Linked DNA regions of Cricetulus griseus. The protein of the gene in region 1 purifies or fractionates together with the protein of each later gene. This does not show direct contact. Links are inferred from orthologs where the notes say so. Each region holds a gene or a part of one and is shown in the gene's direction. Other genes may lie near its edges. The genes, in order: Arid4a, Rbbp4, Sin3a and Brms1.

The links.
Region 2: the proteins of Arid4a (region 1) and Rbbp4 purify together in Homo sapiens (co-immunoprecipitation; 4 studies listed by BioGRID and IntAct, with this or other methods). This does not show direct contact. The link is inferred for Cricetulus griseus from reciprocal best matches to the Homo sapiens genes ARID4A and RBBP4.
Region 3: the proteins of Arid4a (region 1) and Sin3a purify together in Homo sapiens (affinity purification with western blotting; 6 studies listed by BioGRID and IntAct, with this or other methods). This does not show direct contact. The link is inferred for Cricetulus griseus from reciprocal best matches to the Homo sapiens genes ARID4A and SIN3A.
Region 4: the proteins of Arid4a (region 1) and Brms1 purify together in Homo sapiens (affinity purification with western blotting; 3 studies listed by BioGRID and IntAct, with this or other methods). This does not show direct contact. The link is inferred for Cricetulus griseus from reciprocal best matches to the Homo sapiens genes ARID4A and BRMS1.

What each region holds. Positions count from the first base shown.
Region 1 is NC_048598.1:132,312,415-132,317,432, reverse strand, and holds part of Arid4a (AT-rich interactive domain-containing protein 4A), read left to right. Parts: intron 1-1,217; coding exon 1,218-2,348; intron 2,349-2,532; coding exon 2,533-2,640; intron 2,641-4,500; coding exon 4,501-4,707; intron 4,708-5,018.
Region 2 is NC_048595.1:23,710,616-23,715,633, forward strand, and holds part of Rbbp4 (histone-binding protein RBBP4), read left to right. Parts: intron 1-2,070; coding exon 2,071-2,244; intron 2,245-2,518; coding exon 2,519-2,634; intron 2,635-2,748; coding exon 2,749-2,909; intron 2,910-3,006; coding exon 3,007-3,133; intron 3,134-3,793; coding exon 3,794-3,871; intron 3,872-4,955; coding exon 4,956-5,018. UniProt on the Homo sapiens protein: Core histone-binding subunit that may target chromatin assembly factors, chromatin remodeling factors and histone deacetylases to their histone substrates in a manner that is regulated by nucleosomal DNA.
Region 3 is NC_048597.1:168,630,554-168,635,571, forward strand, and holds part of Sin3a (paired amphipathic helix protein Sin3a), read left to right. Parts: intron 1-250; coding exon 251-367; intron 368-2,172; coding exon 2,173-2,411; intron 2,412-3,631; coding exon 3,632-3,815; intron 3,816-5,018. UniProt on the Homo sapiens protein: Acts as a transcriptional repressor. Corepressor for REST. Interacts with MXI1 to repress MYC responsive genes and antagonize MYC oncogenic activities. Also interacts with MXD1-MAX heterodimers to repress transcription by tethering SIN3A to DNA.
Region 4 is NC_048596.1:54,236,508-54,241,033, reverse strand, and holds the end of Brms1 (breast cancer metastasis-suppressor 1), read left to right. Parts: intron 1-206; coding exon 207-299; intron 300-1,418; coding exon 1,419-1,483; intron 1,484-2,094; coding exon 2,095-2,134; intron 2,135-2,475; coding exon 2,476-2,483; 3' UTR 2,484-2,928; downstream 2,929-4,526. Other genes in the region: Rin1 (ras and Rab interactor 1), read left to right, coding at 3,754-3,908, 4,056-4,236, 4,336-4,450. UniProt on the Homo sapiens protein: Transcriptional repressor. Down-regulates transcription activation by NF-kappa-B by promoting the deacetylation of RELA at 'Lys-310'. Promotes HDAC1 binding to promoter regions.

The sequences.
Region 1 (5,018 bases):
ATAGGCTCCAAAGCGACACAGAGAAACCCTGTCTCAAAAAACCAAAAAATAAATTAAATAAATAAATCCTAAAAAAGGAACCAACAAGTAGAAAACATAAAACTTTGCCTAGTGGCACACACCTTTAATCCCAGTACTTGGGAGGCAAAGACAGGTAGATCTGAGTTTGAGGATAGCCTGGTCTCTATATCGAGGCAGGCCAGGGCTACCCACTGAGAATCTCGTCTTTAAAAAAATGAACACATTCAGTGTTTGCCTTTTAAAAATTCTCTAAGGAGGGCATGTGTTGTAAGAGCATAAATTTTTATATTATGTATATATGCATATAATACATATATTTTATATTATGTATATATGCTCTGAGAATGCTACCTTACTATTTGAAAAATTCTCTGACATAAAGTGAATAATTTGTCTTGCAAGCAGGTGGCTTGCTTGTATTTTCTTGTGTGTTAATAAGAACATTTGAAGTTTGGAGAATTCACATCGCTCATTTTAAACATCCCTTCTTAGGGGACAAAGTGGTAAACCTTTGTATTAAGTCAGGTCAAGTCACTTGACATACTAGCTTGTATTTTTTTTTGTTCTGTTTTGTTTGTTTAGTTTTTGAGACAGGCTTTCTCTGTGTAGCCTTGGCTGTCCTGGAACTCACGCTGTAGACCAGGCTGGCCTCAGGGATCTGCCCATCTCTGCCTCCAGAGTGCTGAGGTTAAAGGCCTGTGCCACTACACCCAGCTCTTCTGTTTTTTTCTAAGTGGTACCGTAGCCTAAATGTGTTGTTGCTGAAGACAGCTCTTCATACAGAACTGACATGGTAACATGCTGCTTATTATATTTTTACACATTTTGTTTTTATAGTTTGTGTGTAACACATGTATACATGTTTATGAAGGAAGGAGTGCACATGTGTTCAGAGTCCAATGGGCAATCTTGAGCAGTGTTCCTTAGGAAAGTTCTGTAAACCAGGCTGGCCTAGAACTCAGAGATCTGCCTGCCTCTGCCCCCTGAGCACTGGGATTAAATGTTCACACCACATGCCCTCTTTCATCACGTTTTAATTTTAGTCTTTCCTCTTACATTTTAGCCTTATTTTATATGAGAAATTCCTATAGAAAAATTCAGAAGTCTATAAAGAGTTTTGCTCATATTTAGTAGGATTCTAATTATTACATTAGCATTTAATATAACCATCTGTGCATTGTACTGTCTCCTTGCAGACTCTTGTTCATCTGATAGTGAAACAGAAGACCCTTTGGAGAAGAGCTTGATAAATGAAGAACTTTCTCCTGATATTAAGGAAGAGTTAGAAAAAAGTGAAAATGTAAATGATGATAAACTAGATGAAGAAAGCCCAAAGATTGCACATCTATTAAAAGAAAATGACAGGACTCAGATGCAGCCCTTAGAGACCCTGAAGGTAGAGGTCGAAGACAATGATCAAATAGTACATATTTTTGGAAACAAAGTAGAGCAAGTAGAAGAAATTAAGAAGCAGGTGGAAAAGTCCCCAAAAGGGAAGGGAAGGAGGAGTAAGACGAAAGACCTTTCTTCAGAGGTAATAAAGATGTCATCCCTCGGCCAGGACGAAGCAGGCAGTGATGCTCATGCAGACACTCAGAGCCTGGAGCTTTCCATACTAGAATGCAAAACCGTTTCTTCTCCTGAAGATGAAGGGGACCAATATGAGAGAGAAAAAAAGTTGAAACGGAAAATACTGGGACAGCCATCACCAGAGAAGAAAGTAAGACTTGAGAATGGGATGGAAGTGACAGCTGGTGTGTCCCAAGACAGGCCCAGCGATGGCGCTGGAGCCGAGGGCAGGAAAGGGTTACATTTCGAGCAGCACTTTGAAACAGAAAATGAAGGGATGCCATCATTGATAGCAGAGCCAAACCAGGGCATCCAAGAACCACCTAGTGAAAAACTGGACAGTCCAGCTGAAGAACCTGTACATACACCACTCAAAGAGGAGGAAGACGTGATGCCCCTGATTGGGCCTGAAACCTTGGTTTGCCATGAGGTAGACTTGGATGATCTGGACGAAAAGGAAAAGACCAGTATTGAGGATGTGGTAGTTGAAAACTCTGAGTCTAACTCTGTGGTTTCTGTTCCGACTGCCCTACCTCCCGTAGCACAGCATAACTTTTCAGTAGCTTCCCCTCTAACTCTCAGTCAAGACGAGTCCCGGAGTGTCAAGAGTGAGAGCGATATAACAATTGAAGTCGATAGCATTGCCGAAGAGTCACAGGAAGGCCTCTGCGAAAGGGAGTCAGCGAACGGGTTTGAAGCCAGTGTTGCCCCTGGTACCTGTGGTATAATTGTACAAGAGAGAGAGAGCAGAGAGAAGGGTAAGACATTCTAGGGGGTGATTGCTTTTGTGTTAAAACCAACAATTCAGGTTTTTGATATGACAGATGCTCACTGTTGTCTTTTTTAAAAAATAGAGAAATGATGTGGACAGGTACGTAAATGGACCTGTCTGCTTCCAGCTTTTGGTTTTGTTTTCATGGTTTTTCTTTTCCTTTATTTCAGGTCAAAAGAGGCCAAGCGATGGAAGTAGTGGGTTGATGGCAAAAAAGCAAAAGCGAACCCCAAAGCGAACGAGTGCTGGAACCAAGAGTGAAAAGAATGGGACAACAGGTCAGTGTTTACCAGTGCTGGTATTCACACAGCAGCAGAGGCGTGGCTTGTTCATTTGAGGAGTCCAAAAATGAGCAGGGTTTATTATGTTCTGAAAATAATTTTTCCATTTTTGGGGGGTATGTGTATGTGTGTGCTTGTGCGCATGCATGCATGCATACAAGTGCACAGACATGCCACTAAGCGTATGTGGACATCACAGGACAATTATGTGGAGTCAGTTCTTTCCTTCCATCTTTATGTGGGTTCCAGGGCTCAAACTCAGATCTTTAGGCTTGCATGGCAGGGATTCTTCCCCACTGCGTCATTCACCATCTGTCCATTTTAATCCGAAGATACCTATTAGTCTTATTTAGAACTAGGATAGCTAAAATTATTATTTCAGGAAAAGCAATTAAATATTAGAAAGACTTTAGGGTCTTGAAGAAAAGAAAAATAACATTTGTTGTGGTGTTAAAAGTATGCAAAACTAGCCGGGCAATGGTGGCACACGCCTTTATCCCAGCACTCTGGAGGCAAAGGCAGGCGATCTCTGTGAGTTTCAGGCTAGCCTGGTCTACAGAGTGAGTTCCAGGATAGACTCCAAAGCTACAGAGAAACCGTGTCTCAAAAAAAAAAAAAAACAAAAAAACAAAAAAACAAAAAACAAAAAACAAAAAACAAACAAACAAAAAAGAAAAAAACAAGAAAGGAAAGAAAGTATGCAAAACTTATATTTCTACTGAGCCAGAAGTGCTGATTTATAAATAGTAAAAATATTTATTTTATTTTATGTATGTGAATATTTTGACTACATGTATGTTGATGTATTATACCCCTGCCTGGTACTCAAAGAACTCAGAAGAGGCAGATTCCCTGGATCTGGAGTTGCAGGTGGTTGTGAGGTACCATGTAGGTGCTTGAACCTGGGTCCTCAGCAAGAGCAGTAAGTGCTTGTAACTACTGAGCCATCTCTTCATCCTGAAAAGTTAATTCTTATCAAATGAAATAAAATAATATATAGGTATGAATGGATTAGATTACATGAAAAGCAAACTCAGTATGAATAGTTAAATAGTCAATTAAATAAATAAATCAATCATAATAAATCAATTAAATATGATTGATTTTTGACAAGTTTGTTGCTAGATCATGCCCTCAGTAAAACAAACAGCTCATATCCTAACAAAAGGACTGTGGAGTTTACACAGTAGCAAACATCTCAAAGGACTTGAGACTGTTTCAGATTTTTAGTAGTCAGATGTGACTTACAGCTGCATGATTCTGACTTAAGGAAGAGAGTGATAGGAGGAAAGAGTGGATTAGAAATTACAAAGGGGGGCTGGAGAGATGCCTCAGCGGTTAAGAGCACTGACTGCTCTTCCAGAAGTCCTGAGTTCAATTCCCAGCAACCACATGGTGGCTCACAACCATCCATTATAAGATCTGGTGCCCTTTTCTGGTGTGCAGATATACATGGAAGCAAAATGTTGTATACATAATAAATAAAATCTTTAAAAAAAAAAAAAGAAATGACCAAGGGGATATGCATAATTTTACAGATTATAAATCCAGAAGATACCACCTTAGGGTAATCAAAGTAAACACTCAAGTCCACACAGGTGGACTTCTGAAAGTGGTAGGGCTCAGAGTCACGGCAGTGCCATGTGTGTATCTTCCTTTGACACTTTCCAAAGAATGATGTTATTCTGACATGTGCTTCTGCCACCACTGAGGCCAAAAAGCCTATTTCCCCCTTTTTTCTGTTGTAATCCTTGATAGATATGTTTATCTGTGTGATTCCAGGAAGTGTTACTGCTTCTGCTGCATTTTGATATTTGAGGCTTTTCATCATTTATAATTGTAGTAAACCTATTACAGGACAAAGCAGTGACAGTGAAGATCTCCCTGCCATGGACAGTTCAAGCAAATGCACGCCAGTCAAACATCTGAGCCTGTCCAAGCCGCAGAAGCTGGCTCGCTCCCCTGCAAGGACCTCACCTCACATCAAAGATGGAGAGAAAGAGAAGCACAGAGAAAAGCACCCGAATTCATCCCCTAGGACATATAAGTGGAGCTTGCAACTCAGTAAGAATCTTTCAGATAGCTTGAATGGGTATTGTAAAGTGTAACATTTCTAAAATGTCCATTTGGAATAATGTTATAGCCATTCCAAATCAGTAATCATCACTGTATGTAAACTGCTTTTCTTTTGTTTGTTTCTTTTTTTTTTTAATTTGGATAATGCTAACTTGACAAAATCTTCAGTTAAGAAACAAAACATAATCCCAGCAGACATATGGGTGCTGGGAATTGAACCTGGGTCCTCTGGAAGAGTAGCCAGTGCTTTTAACCATTCAGCCTCTCTTTAGCCCCCAGAGTAATAGTTGTTTAATATA
Region 2 (5,018 bases), on another chromosome or scaffold:
GGTTGTTCTAGTACTTTAACTGATAAACTTTGATCTGTCTATTTTGCTGCTGTGTATGTGATTAGAATCGAGTCCTATTCCCTGAATGTTTCTCTTGCTTTGGGGAGTTGGGACAGTATGCTCTCTATGACTGAACTGCTGCTTCTGACTACAGTTTGGTTTTGTGTGTTGGTGTAGGTGTGTGCCATAGTGCCGTATGGGGAAGGATTGTCACAGGTTCAAGGCCATCGTGGTCTGCATATTAAGATCCTGACTGAACTGTCTCAAAATGGCTTCTCTCTCCCCAGAAATAGTAAAAAACAAAACAGTAATGTGGATCACAGCTATAGATTTTTGAATTTGACTATCACACTACCCCAGGGTTACACACCTTGTTTTCCTTTTACTCCTTTACCTATAAGTGGATAGGCTTGGTAACCCCATGGCGGAATGGTGACTTTAGTTGATTTCATCAATGATGGGTACACTTATGTCTGATGTCTGAGTTTCTTGGGTATTGGCTTGTGTCTCAGTGGTAGAACACTTGTCTAGCATCTGCAAGACCCTGGGCGTCATGTCCAGCATCACGAAGACAAAAGGTTTGGTTTTTGTTTATAAATCATTTCTAACCTAAAAAAATGAAATGCAGGCAGGTGGATTTCGTGAGTTCATACACGAAGAAACCCTGTCTGGAACGAACACACACCACAATGAAATGAAAATGAAAATTTGGTTTCTTGGCTTGTACTGTTAAAATACTTTCTTAGAAATTCCACAGGATTTATGGCCTAGAAAAGTGACTCAGGTGTTAGAAATTGGGGTAAGGGAGCTTTGGGTAAGCATATTGGTTAAGAAAGATACACGTGTTCCTACTGGGGTACTGGAAATGTTTTGTTGGTGGTGGTAGTTTCGTTGGTTGATTGGGGGTCGGGGTGTGACTTTGGGTTTTTTGTTTTGTTTTGTTTTTAGACGGGGTCTCTGTAGTCTAGGCCTCCTTGAAATTCCCTTTAAGAAGTCAAGACTAGCTTTGCACTCCTGGTGATCCTCTTAACTTAGCCTTTTGTTTTTGAAGATAGCATTTCTCTATGTAATAGCCCTGGAACTTGCTTTGTAAACTAGGCTGGCCTTGAACTCATAGATCCACCTGCCTCTGACTTAGCCTTTTAAATAGGGTTTCTTTTGGGGCTGGAGAGATAGCTCAGAGTGCTAGCTTCTCTTCTAGAGGACCCAGGTTTGATTCCCAGCACTCACATTGCAGGTCACAACTGTCTGTAACTGAAGTTTCAAGGGATCTGACACCTTCGCACCAATTCACATATAAAATACATTTAATTTTTAAGGGTTTTTTTATTTGTTTGTTTGTTTGTTAGGTTTATTATGTATATGAGTTCTCTGTCTGCATGCACACCTTTATGCCAGAAGAGGGCACCAGATCCCATTATATAGGTGATTGTAAGCCACCTTAACCAATATTGTGTGGTTGCTGGGACTTGAACTCGTGACCAGGAGAGCATCCAGTACTGTTAACTGCTGAGTTATTTTTAGGTCAAATGAGATTTGAAAACTGCCAAGAACAAGCTTTTAGCAAGGAATGGTGATCATCAAACTTTTGATCTTGGCACTCCGGTCAGGAGAATTGCCTAAGCTAGGCTATAGAATGAGATTCTGTGAAGGTGTGAGAGAAAGAAGAAAGGACAGCGAACCTCTGCATAGTGAATTGAGGGCCCGTCTGAGATGTGTGGTCACAGCCTGCCTGGAGAACAAGCAAAAAGATTGACTCACAAGGTTGAGTAGTTGAGTAGTATACACACACACACACAGGATCTCACACTAGTAGCATAACACTTAAGGCTCACTGTGCAGACCAGGCTGGCCTCTAACTACAATGGTCTGGCTGCACCAAGATTTAAAGGTGTGCACTACCACACCAGGTTTGGTATTCATACCGTCTTCATTTCAGTTGGCTATATAGTACTTATTTCTAATCTATCTGTAGTTATAAATGTATAAAAAGCACTTCTGTTCTCCAGATGGTTCTGTCTTCTAGTTATACCACTTGGTTCATTAAGTACTTTTTGCTTATAAATACAGAATTCGGAGGTTTTGGCTCTGTCAGTGGGAAAATTGAAATAGAAATCAAGATCAACCATGAAGGAGAAGTAAACAGGGCTCGATACATGCCCCAGAACCCTTGCATCATTGCAACAAAGACTCCATCCAGTGATGTGCTTGTTTTTGACTACACAAAGCACCCTTCTAAACCAGGTACCTCTCCCTTTTAATCAGATACAGATTCCATTTACTCAAATATTTTTATAATTTAACATCTTATTTGTATTGATATGTGTGGGTATTTTATGTTTCTTAAGCAAAGCAGTGCTTTTATGTAGAGGAAAATCATGATTTTGCAACTTCAGCATTGTATAGTTGGTCATGATGGGTCTATATTTTGTATAATAGGCATTTATGGCATAATTTTGCTTAATAAGCCCAGAGAGACAATCAACTGGATATTCTAGATATATCTGTTACTTTGCAGACCCTTCTGGAGAATGCAACCCAGATTTACGTCTCCGTGGACATCAGAAGGAAGGTTATGGTCTTTCTTGGAATCCAAATCTCAGTGGGCACTTACTTAGTGCTTCAGATGACCATGTGCGTATCCTTGCAGTTTTGGTTCAAATCTGGAATTGTTGCCAATTGCTTTCTTTTTTGGGGAGATGGGGGGAAGTGAGAATCATTTATATAATGGTTAATTTTAAATTTAAGACCATCTGCCTGTGGGACATCAGTGCAGTTCCAAAAGAAGGAAAGGTGGTGGATGCAAAGACCATCTTCACAGGGCATACAGCAGTAGTAGAGGACGTTTCCTGGCATCTGCTCCACGAGTCTCTGTTTGGGTCTGTTGCTGACGATCAGAAACTTATGATGTGAGTGGACTCCATAATTTATTTTTTATTACATTTTCAGAGTTTTGCATTAGTCACATTTCAAGCTTCCTTTCCTATTCTCTCTCTTTAAATGAAGCTGGGATACTCGTTCGAACAATACTTCCAAGCCAAGCCACTCGGTTGATGCTCACACTGCTGAAGTGAACTGCCTGTCTTTCAATCCTTACAGTGAGTTCATTCTTGCCACAGGATCAGCTGACAAGGTCAGTTTTCTTTGTTTGGGATTTTTTGTTGTTGAAGTTTTATATTTTATGGGTAAAGGAACTTCACCCACATGTATGTCTTGAGCACATGCTGTACATGTCTGGTGCCTGTTGAGACCAGAAGGGGGTGTTAGATCCCCTGGGATTGGGGTTACAAATGTTTGTGTGACACCAAATGGGTGCTGAGCTGTTCCTCTGGACTCTTAACTACTGAGCCATCTTCAGCATATGTTAAATGAAATGTACGGAGACCTTTAGTTAATGTTTTAAAGGTATTCTTGTCTTAAATTTTTTTAAGAATTTTATCAGGCTGCCAAGCCTGAAGATCTGAATTCAGTCCCCAAGACCTGAAAGACTAAAGGAGATTACCAACTCCTCTCCTACAAGTTGACCTCTGATCTCTGCACAGTTGTCATGGTACATGTGTGTATATATACACAAACTGAACTATGTATTTGGCAGGGATGGGGGTACATACACCATGACGTTTGTGTGGGGGGTTAGAAGACAACTTGCCAGAGTTTGTTTACTCCTTCCACTGTGTGGATTCTGGGATCAAACTCATGTTTGGCAGCAAGTGCCTTTATCCACTGAACCATCTTGCTGGCCTTAGGCTTTCCTTTATAAGTTGATCTTGATTTCGTTTTCTTTTGTACATAGACTGTTGCCTTGTGGGATCTGAGAAACCTGAAACTCAAGTTGCATTCCTTTGAGTCACATAAGGATGAAATATTCCAAGTAAGAAAAACCTAGGTTGCCTGCCCTGTTCTTTCCCTCTTTACAGACAATTCTGTATACACCTATAATCCCAGCCCTTGGGAAGCTACAGCAGAAAGATACCGTGTAAAGAGATCCTTACAAATCAGAGGACCTGGAAAGGAAGCACAGTTAGTGGAGTTCTTGCCTGACATGCAGGAACTTTTGCTACCGTGTGTCCTTTTTAACTAGGCACATCCCTCTCTTAAATTTTATAGTGATACCAGACATGTCCATGCATGCCTCTGATCCCAGCATAAAGGGTACCTGAAGCAAGACAGTCACCTGAGGTATCTATCTAGTAAGAGACCACCCTACAGTCATTAGAACTACTGCTAATCTCAGCATTCAAAGGGAAGAGGGAGAATCACAAAAGGTCATCCTCATCTAAATGGCCTAAGTGTTGAGACTGTTTTGTCATTGTCCTATTTCCTTTCTCTTGGTGGTAGTGGTAGTGATGGTCTTGCTTGAAGAATATCTAAATTCTTCCCTAACCCATTAGTCAATAATGCCATAAACTAACATTTTTTTTTCTTTCTTTTTTTCTTCTTCTTCAAGTCAGGATATCTCTGTTTAACAGTCCTAGCTGTCCTGCAAACTCATTCTGTGGATCAGGCTGGCCTTGAACTCACAAGGAGCCTCCTGCCTCTGCTTTCAAAGTGCTGGGATTAAAGGTGTGTGCCACCACTACCCAGCAAACCAGCACTTTCTTAACAGCCACAGGATTTGTGATAGTTTTGTGTGTGTGGTTATCTTTTACCTAACATCATTATAAGGAATCTTTGGGGTATAGTAGTAGCTGTCCAGGCAGTGGTGGCGCAAGCCTTTAGTCCCAGCACCTGGGAAGCAAAGGCAGGCTGATCTCTGAGTTCAAGGCCAGCCTGGTCTATAAAGCAAGTGCCAGGACAGGCTCCAAAGCCATAGAGAAACCCTGTGAAGAGAGAAATATCTGTAAGTTTTAGCAGTATTCACTGCCTTTTATTTACAAAGTTTTGTAGGATATAATTTGAGATATTTTCCCCTTCTATTTCTAATTGGTTGCATCTTTGTTGACTCTTGGATATAGGTTCAATGGTCACCTCACAACGAGACTATTTTGGCTTCTAGTGGTACTGACCGTAGGCTGAAT
Region 3 (5,018 bases), on another chromosome or scaffold:
ATTAAATAAATAAATCTTTAAAAAAAATTGAAAAATTTAAAAATTTTTCCGATCTTATAGTCTGACCTTATGGAGGCAATTTCTCAATTGAGGTTCCCTCCTTTCAACTAACTCTAGCTTGTGTCAAGCTACAAAAAAACTAACCAGGACACCAAATATTTTTTCCTCTCTATAGTATTGTCTTTTTATTGAGAATGTTTAATTACCAGTAAGTTTTAACAAGCTTTTCTGCCTCTTTTTCTACCCAAAGGTTTTAAATGATACCTGGGTTTCCTTCCCATCATGGTCTGAAGATTCCACTTTTGTTAGTTCCAAGAAGACTCAGTATGAAGAACATATTTATCGTTGTGAAGATGAACGATTTGAGGTATCCTCCTTTGTGATTTGAAGTTTGGGGAACAAGGAAGATGTGAAATGAAGGGGTATTTAAATACTCTGTGTGAGGCAGCTTAAAAAAAAAAGTGCCCTAGTGCCTGTAAGAGTTACATTTTAAAGGGGATGGCTGGGATGGGAAGATCTAGAATGAATGAATCAGCTGGTAGAGATATCCCTTATTGCAGGAAGGGAATTTCTGAAACTAGACTCAAACATCTCCAGTATTCAGATGATGTTTACTAATACCACACCAAAGGGAGTCAATTGTATTTTGCATATATGTGTTTGACTTAGTATGTTCATTACACTGTGTTGACTGGGTCTGCTTCTTCAAATCAGTGGGAGAGATCTCATACAACATTCCTCTTCAGAAGAATCACATGCTGTCTCCTCACTGACTGGTGGTTGCCATCTTTTCCCCATCTCTGTTACCGTTCTATAATTGTGATAAATCTCATTATCAAGACAACTTATAAAAGAATTGACTTGGTTTAAAGTTTGAGATGGGAGTTCATGTGGTACAGAGAAGAACTATCTGAGAGCTCACATCTTGATCCTTAACCAGGAGGCAGAGAAGAATGCCTTGAGAATCATACTAGTCTTTTGAAATCTACAGGCCCACCCCCTAGTGATAGACCTCCTCCAGTGAAACCACACCTTCTTTCCCTTCCCAGACAGTTTTCTGAGCTAGGGATTAAGAATTTAAATATATGAGCCTATTGGGGCCATCCTCATTCAAACCACCACTCCTCTAGAATTAATGGCCTGATTAGTTATTGCAGAAAACTAAATTGTATTAAGTGTTAATTTCTATGGGTAGTTGTTTGTTTGTTTGTTTTGTTTTTTTTGTTTTTCCTGTTTTTGCAACAGGGCTCTGTGTAGCCTTGGCTATCCTGGAACTCTATGTAGACCAGGCTGCCTTGATCTCAGAGATCCATCTGCCTCTGCCTCTGCCTCCGCCTCCTGAGTGCTGGGATTAATGTGAGTGCCGCCATACCCAGCTTCTAATCAAGGTGAAGAACATTTTTCGAGTTGGGTAATGTAGTGTACCTATAATCCCTGGCGAGGGGAAGGCTGAAGGAGTTTAGAATTCTTGGTCCTTCTTGGGTGCATAGACCCGTTGGACGCCAGTCTGGCTACTTGATACTCTTTTTCAAAAGGAAAGGATAATAATCCTGAATTTGTTGCCATTGGGTGTGAAGCAGTAATTTAATATTTAAATGTTTTAGACATTTAAGTTAAGACTCCTATACCCTTTAGTCCCACAGCTGTCTTTGGATTGTTTTCTTACTATTTGTAATGTGTTTGCTCAAGTGAGAAAAGTTGATAGGCCAGATATTGCGGCTCACATTTGTAATCCCAGCGTTAGGTGCCAGAGGCAAGAACTTACCACAGTCGAAGACCAGTCTGGTCTACAGAGCATGTTATGTTCTAGGTCATCCATAATTAAAACTGTGTCTAAGTACAAACAAAAGTATAAGGAAATGCATCAGTATACTAGCCTTCTTAGTCCCCCTGGCCTGTGTTTGGCAGTGCCAAGCAGTGTGTGACAGTGGTGGCTGCCGAGAAGTTCGTGTGCTTTATGACTTATGCATATGGCATTTCTTCCAGAAAACAACCTCATGAAAGTAGTATATGCCATTGTTCATATGTTACTGATGGAGAGCCTTACATGGCTTGTATAGGAACTATACAGGACTCCAATCCTGAGGAATTTGACACGCTCCTTATTCTCATAACTACTGTATTCTGGTTTCTGGCCTGAGTACCTTCTTTTTTGTTTTGTTTTGTTTTAAGCTTGATGTAGTTTTAGAGACCAATCTTGCAACAATCCGGGTTCTGGAAGCAATACAGAAAAAACTTTCCCGCTTGTCTGCTGAAGAGCAAGCTAAATTTCGCCTGGATAATACCCTTGGCGGCACGTCAGAAGTCATCCATCGGAAAGCACTCCAGAGGATATATGCTGATAAAGCAGCTGATATCATAGACGGTCTGAGGAAGAACCCCTCCATTGCTGTTCCAATTGTCCTTAAAAGGTGTGTATCTTCTGGCTTTTGTACGCTTTGTGACAGGTTCTGTGTGGTTCTCTAATCAGAATTCCAGTTCTCTCTTCTTGGTTGTTAGACTTTTGAGACAGAGTAAAATGACAGAACTTAGTTTAGGGTTTTGTATGCCATAGTGGTTGAAGGACTACCACTCAGTGGTAGTGTGCTTTTGTAACATGCCTAACCCTTGAGCTCAATTTCCTTGCCACAGAGAGAGAATAATTGAGTTGGTGTATGATAGCCTGCTTTGAATTTATGTTTGAGGTTGTGTTTCAGTTTTTTTCTCAGAAGAGGGGATTGAACTTGGGACCATTTGTGTAACATGCTTGGTAGGCAAATGCTTTACCATGTCTCAACATGTGTCTGTGTCTGTGTGGTGTGTGTGAACTTTGTTTTGGAATAGGTCTCACTATACTGTCCAGACTGGCTGTTGAACTTGCAATGCTCACCCCTCACCAAATGCCTTCTCTTGGACTTTGCATTTCTATTAGCTCAGTAAACATTCTGAGTCGTAACATAGAAGCAAGTTCACCGTTGCTTTATTTGTCCAAGGAGAGCTCACTTTTCAAGTATACTCATTGAAGCCAGATGTAGTCCTCACACTAGGGAGGCAGAGGCAGGAAGATTGCTGTAAGTTGTAAATCCCAGGTCATCCGATGTTTCAAAGTGAGGCCTTGTCTCAGAAACCACTCTATACTCCCTCATAAAACTCCTCTTCCTCCTTTCCTTTTTTTTTCCTTGTCTTACAAGACAGGGTTTCTCTGTGTAGCTTTGGCTGTTCTGAAACTCTTTTGTAGACCAGGCTTGTCTTACATATGTGAAGATCCACCTGTCTCTCCCTCCTAAGGGCTGGGATTAAAGGTGTGTGTCACTCAACTTTCTGAGTACTCAAGGAAGCCTGATGTTCCTCTTGCCTATAATGTCAGCATTGGGGAGGTGGCAGGCAGAATTGCTGTAAGTTTGAGACTTGTGTATTCTATATAGCATGTTCCAGACCAAGACTTCACAGTAAGTCTTGTCTAGAAAAACAAACCCCCTCTGGAAAAAAAACTTCATTTAGATAATATCAGTGTTATTATCTCAAGTACCAGCAATTGACCAAATTTTGCATAGATTCGGTTTTTATCAAATAAAATAACCTGGCATATTTACCATTTCTAAACCCTCTAAATTCTTACATTGTTATTTACATCTCTTCCTACTTTGCCAAGGTTGAAGATGAAAGAGGAAGAATGGCGAGAAGCTCAGAGAGGCTTTAACAAGGTGTGGCGAGAGCAAAATGAGAAGTACTACTTGAAGTCTTTGGATCACCAGGGCATTAACTTCAAACAGAATGACACCAAGGTCTTGAGGTCTAAGAGCTTACTCAATGAGATTGAGAGCATCTATGATGAGGTGAGTTGGGGGATTCTACACCTTCCTCAACTTTAGTCTGAATGTTCAGCCTGGCTTTGACTCTACAATCACTGAGAGCTACTGGTTCTTGCTTCATGACTAGAGTCCATCATAGCTTTTGATTCCTGGTCTACCATCTTATACCTAAGACCCATTGTTACACTTAGTTCTTCCTCTAGTTTCCTAATTTATCATTCTGCTTTAAGTTTGCTCCTTCTGACCCCCACTTCTTCCAACAAATATCTTGTATTTGTGGAGCCTCTCCCTTTTTTTCCTTTCTTTTTTTGTGGAGACCCTCTTATCTAGACCTCAGCTTAAAGAGTGTTAGTAATCCCTGTTACCCTGCACACTTACTGGGAGTGTAAATAGTTCTAGGAGCCAAGAGTCAGAGGTGATACGGCCTGTCTTAGGAAGTAGAAGCTTTCTAAAAGTCCTGAGTTTTAAAAAATAAAAAAAAATTAAATGAGCTTTTACAGTTAATCATCTGTCTAATCATGTTAACCTCCATGTGACAAACTCCACCCTAATATAGAATTTTAAATACAATTCTCTCAAGTCTTCAATATATAGAAGGTACTAATTTTTTTTATCAAGCCACATTGTCATAGTACCTATGAATATTTGGAAGAGAGACAAAAATTGTTAAGGTCAATTCCTGTGTTTCAAATTGGGTAACCACTATCACGTCTCTGTCTGTTTTGATATAGGATCAAAATATATGGCCCAAACTGGCTTAGAATTTGCATCTTTTCAGCTTTGCCTCCTAAAGACTAGAATTATAGATAGGTATTATTGTGCTTAGTTTCCACTATGGTTAGTAATAAAATATGCTGCTGGTGTAGTCTTTTTTTTGTTTTTTGTTTTGTTTTTCTTTTTCATTTTAGAGACAGAATTTTTATGTATAACTCTGGGTATATCTAGAATTTGGTACTTGACTTTTTTAGACCAGGCTAGCCTCACTCAGAGATCTACTTGCCTCTCTCTCAAGAGCTGAGATGAAAGGTGTGCATGCCTTTAATCCTAGCACTTGGGAGGCAGAGGCAGGCGTATTTCTGTGAGTTTGAGGCCAGCTTGGTCTATAGAAGTAGTTCCAGAACAGGCTCTAAAGCTACACAGAGAAACCCTGTCTCAGAAAAACAACAAAAACACAAAACAAAACAAAACAAAAACCAAAAAAGGTGTGCACTACCACCACCTGACATT
Region 4 (4,526 bases), on another chromosome or scaffold:
CTCATCTTTGCCGGCTTGCACCAAATGCAGTAAGGACCTCAGTGGTCCCAAGAGGTCACCAGCCTCAAGCCCAAGGTTGGGGCCACTGCCCTGGTGGTGATGGGGAAGGGAGGGGAGGCCAGGCTGGTCCATGGTAAAACCACAGGGATAGTGGGAGTTACCTGTGGGTCACTGTCCTGATCCTGACTCTGAGTCTCTGGGCACAGAGTGGTGGGATGACAAACTACACGCCAGAGGCAGCTCAAAGACCTGGGACTCATTGCCACCCAGCAAGAGGAAGAAGGCACCTCTCGTTTCTGGTATCCTTCCACTCAAAGTCCCCTGAAACTGGGCAGGACAAGGCAGGCCCTGGACTCAGGGAAGTTAGAGGGATTGTGTGGGACAGAGTCAAACTAGAATCATTTATGGTCATTTGGTGTCACCTGAAATGTCCAGTTGTCAGGATTTTCTTCTGTGTCCTATGTCCTCTTGAGCTCAGTGGACCCCAAAGAAACAGAAAACTCAGCTCACTGACTCATAGTAATTTCCTGAGAAAGGATCAGCCTTTGGAGCCTTGTGGCTTTCCCTCAATGTCCTTATATTTGGTCAAACTCCATGCTCTCAGGCCTTGCTTGACCCTTCTGGAGCTATTGCTTGTCTGGGCAGGGGTGTCATGTCAGATGCTGTGTCCTCTGAGGTCTCTCCTGGTCCATAGCCCCCAGCCCTATACATGTGTTCTCTTCTGTATTGAACAGTGAGACAGGGGACTCACTGTCTTTGACTCTCATGTGCTGCACAGCATAGCACTGAGATCTTCCACATCCACAGTGTCAGCCCTGGGACCACCTCAGGATGGAGGTGGGATGGAGATTTTATTGAACCATTGTGGGTAAAGGTAAATTTCAGATCCATAGCATAGTGTGCTATCAGGAGGGAAGAGGCCACTATTTACATTTAGGTGAGGAAGGGTCCAATGAGCCAGTTCCTGACAGAGCCAGACAAAGCAGCAGGAGCAGGGCCCCTCAGGATAGGATGGGCCTTGGTCAGCTGATCTGGAAAAAAAAAAAATATGAGTGTGTGTGAAGGGAATGGGTAAGGTTTTGTGCCCACCACAATCCCCACACTCACCAAGAACTAGGGTCCCTGAGGCAGGAGGTGGAGCTTGGATTAAGCCCAGGGTCTTACTGAGTGTAAAGGCACACACCTTTAATCCCAGCACTCAGGAGGCAGAGGCAGGCAGCTCTCTGTGAGTTCCAGGCCAGCCAGGGCTACATAGAGACTGTGTCTCAAAAAATAAAAAGGCTCTTGTCACCCCCTCCACACTACCGATGTACCACCTCTCCTAAGCAGGAGACAGGTGGCACTGCCACCTGTGGCCATCCAGTGGAGCCTTGTCCCCTGTCTCCTGTTGTCATCTTTCTTCCTTGACCCCTGTGCAGGCCCATACATTGTATACATGCTGCAGGAGATCGACATTCTGGAAGACTGGACGGCTATCAAAAAGGTAGGTCTGCTGCTGCCTGTTTACCCATCCTGCTCTGCCACCCCCACCCCTCTCTCATACACTCATGACAGCTCTGGTATCTGAGGGTATTTAGGGAGTTTTCTGCCTGCCCCTCAGCAATATCTGCCTCAGCCCTGGTACCAACTTTGTGGTAGCTTATTTGTAGTCCTCCTAGACTGACCTGAGGAAGGAAAAGGATGTGTTCTGGTTAGCCGTTGGTCCAGACAGGTTTTTTTTTTGTTGTTTTTTTTTGTTTGTTTGTTTTTTGTTTTTTTTTTGTTTTTTTTTTTTTCTTCCCTGAGACAGGGTTTCTCTGTGTAGCTTTGGAGCCTATCCTGGCACTCGCTCTGGAGACCAGGCTGGCCTCAAACTCACAGAGATGCGCCTGCCTCTGCCTCCTGAGTGCTGGGATTAAAGGTGTGCGCTACCAACGCCCGGCCAATCCAGACAGTTTTGATGAACAAGAGAAAAGCTGCCCCTGAGAGAGCTTGGTGTAGGGAGTTTTTTATATTTCATGCAATTTGACTCAGCAGCTTTCACCCTTGGTGTAGAGGGGGCAGTGTCAACAAGTTAAAGTAGACTCTAAAGGCCCCTGTCTTCTCTACACCCAGGCCAGGGCAGCAGTGTCTCCTCAGAAGAGAAAACCAGATGGTAAGAACCAAAGAGGTGGCCCTGTCAGAATCCATAGCTTGATCTCACTTTGAGGATTTTGTGGGAGTTTGGGGAATAGGAACCAGATTGGCAAGGACTTGTAAAGGTAAAATGGAGGGCCCAGTGGTAGAGTGCTTGCCTAGCATGGGTAAGCCTCTGGTCCCAAGTTCAGCACCACAGAGAGATAAAGGTGGACTGGAGCTGGCCCGCAGCAGGGTGGGTCAGAGGGCAGGGAAAGGAAGCCCTGTGGGTGAGGGGAGTATGGTGTTTCCCCAGGGCCTCAGGCAGTGGTTGTTCTCTTTGATTCACCTTCCTTGTAGTGATTTTCCCATTGCCCCTAGGACCCTGACACTGCATTTCCACTCAGAGGGTCCTTGGAGCAGCTGGCACCACACACAGGACTAACATTTTTCTGCAAAGGCAGGGGGTTGCCTGGTAGTCCTCCAGTGTTACTGCTGTCCCCTGACCAACACTGGCCTGGGCTCCTCTGCTCTCCTTGGGATCTGCATAGCCGTGACCCTGAAGCTGACCTGGCCAAGCAAGACTCCGTTCCTGCCCCCCCCCCAAGAGTAACTTCCTTTATTGTCCCCCCAATAAAGATAGGCTTCATATGACAGCAGCAGCCCTCCCCACTGAGCCAGGAGCTGGGGAACTCTTGAGCCAGAAACATGTTGGGGTCTTGCCCCTCCTAGCTATCGCTGGAGATGGCATCTTCCCAGACTTTCTCAGGGCCATTCCTGGTGTCTGCCTCCCAGATTCTAAAGACTGGAATAAAACTCATCCTTGGACCTTGACCAGTGTGTGTCTGCTGTTCTCTTAAAAGGAATCAAGGCTTTATGGGGAACACCTGGGACAGACTCTTCTGGGGTCCCTGTTGTTCAGAACATTGTGACTTAGAAACGAGCCTGGGCCCAGAGCTGGAGTCTACACGTGGTGTGGCCCAGGCAAACAAATGAAGCACATGGCCTTGGATGAAGGCATGCCTGGAGGCCAGGTCATGTCTGCACCTGCCCCAGTCACTTGGCAGATTGGCAGGCAGGCTGGCAGGGCCTGTGTGTGGGAGGCAGCTAGCAGCAGCACCATGTGCTGACAACCTCACAGCCACACTCTCCCCTGGTTAGCATGAGTGTCAGAACCACCCCCAGAACCTCAGTTAAGCAAAGGGTTTAGTTTCCATGGAGACACAGCATCCTTTCTCCATAGCAACCTGAAATCACAAAACCCAAGTTAGGTTCAGGAATGAGTCATCTGTGACCAGTAGGGGGTGCTCTCCCACAAGGGTGACCCCCTCCAAGGCAGAAGCAGATGAGCAAGTGACCACAGACTTCTTGAGGTGACACAGGGGTGAGACTTGGGCCTGTGGGAACTTGGTCTGCCCTGTTTAACTCCTCCCTACCCAGCTGCATAGTGTGAGGTTCTATATGAGGAAACGCTGTGTGGAGGTGGTCCTCCCACAGCTGAGGCCCTAATAGTGACACTAACATAAAGGGGGCCCCTGCCATTCAAGGCTGGGCCCAGAATAGAAGTGGACACTGGCCACATGGAGTGGACATACAAGAGTTAACTGGCGGGGCGTGACAGGGTGAACCGCCTTCAGGAAGTGTTACTCACCGCTAGGAATGTGCCCGCCTGTGCCTTGGGGGTTGGATTCTCTTCCTGAGTCCCAGGAGAAGCTGAAGGAGCTCCTAGCCATGGAAGACCCTGGGGATACAGAAGCACACCCTTTGGGAACTGCCAACCTAAACTTTGTTCCTGGGCACCAACAGAAAGAAAAGTTAGTGAAGTTGGGAGGGCAACTGGGTGCAGGGGGTGAGGGCAGTGACAGGAAGGTCTGGCAAAGACAGATGGATAGGTGGGAAGCCCAGGACGGGGAAGAGGTGCTTGCCCAGACCCCTGCTCAGGTCTGCGTGTCTGCCCCCAGTCCATCTCCAGACCCTCTGTATGACACGCCTGACGCCAGCAGGGCACAGGCAGGCGGGGCCCAACAACCAGCACGCACCGTGAGTCTGCGGGAACGGCTGCTCATCACCCGGCCGGTGTGGTTACAGTTGCGGGCCAACGCTGCAGCCGCACTACACGTGTTGAGGACAGAGCCTCCAGGGGTGAGTCTTTTCCCTTCCTCCAGGACTGGCTCACCAAGGGTGGGAGAGAAAGGGCCTGGACATGGAGGCATTGAGCCTCCTAATCCTATTCACTTGCAGACCTTCCTGGTACGGAAATCTAACACTCGCCAGTGCCGGGCTCTGTGTGTGCGGCTGCCAGAAGCCAGTGGCCCCTCTTTTGTCTCCAGCCACTATATCCAAGAGAGCCCTGGTGGTGAGGGGGCTGGCCTGGCGGGAAGGGGCTGGAGACAGGCTGGGGAGGGAGGTCCCCAGAGAACAGCCTCACTCCC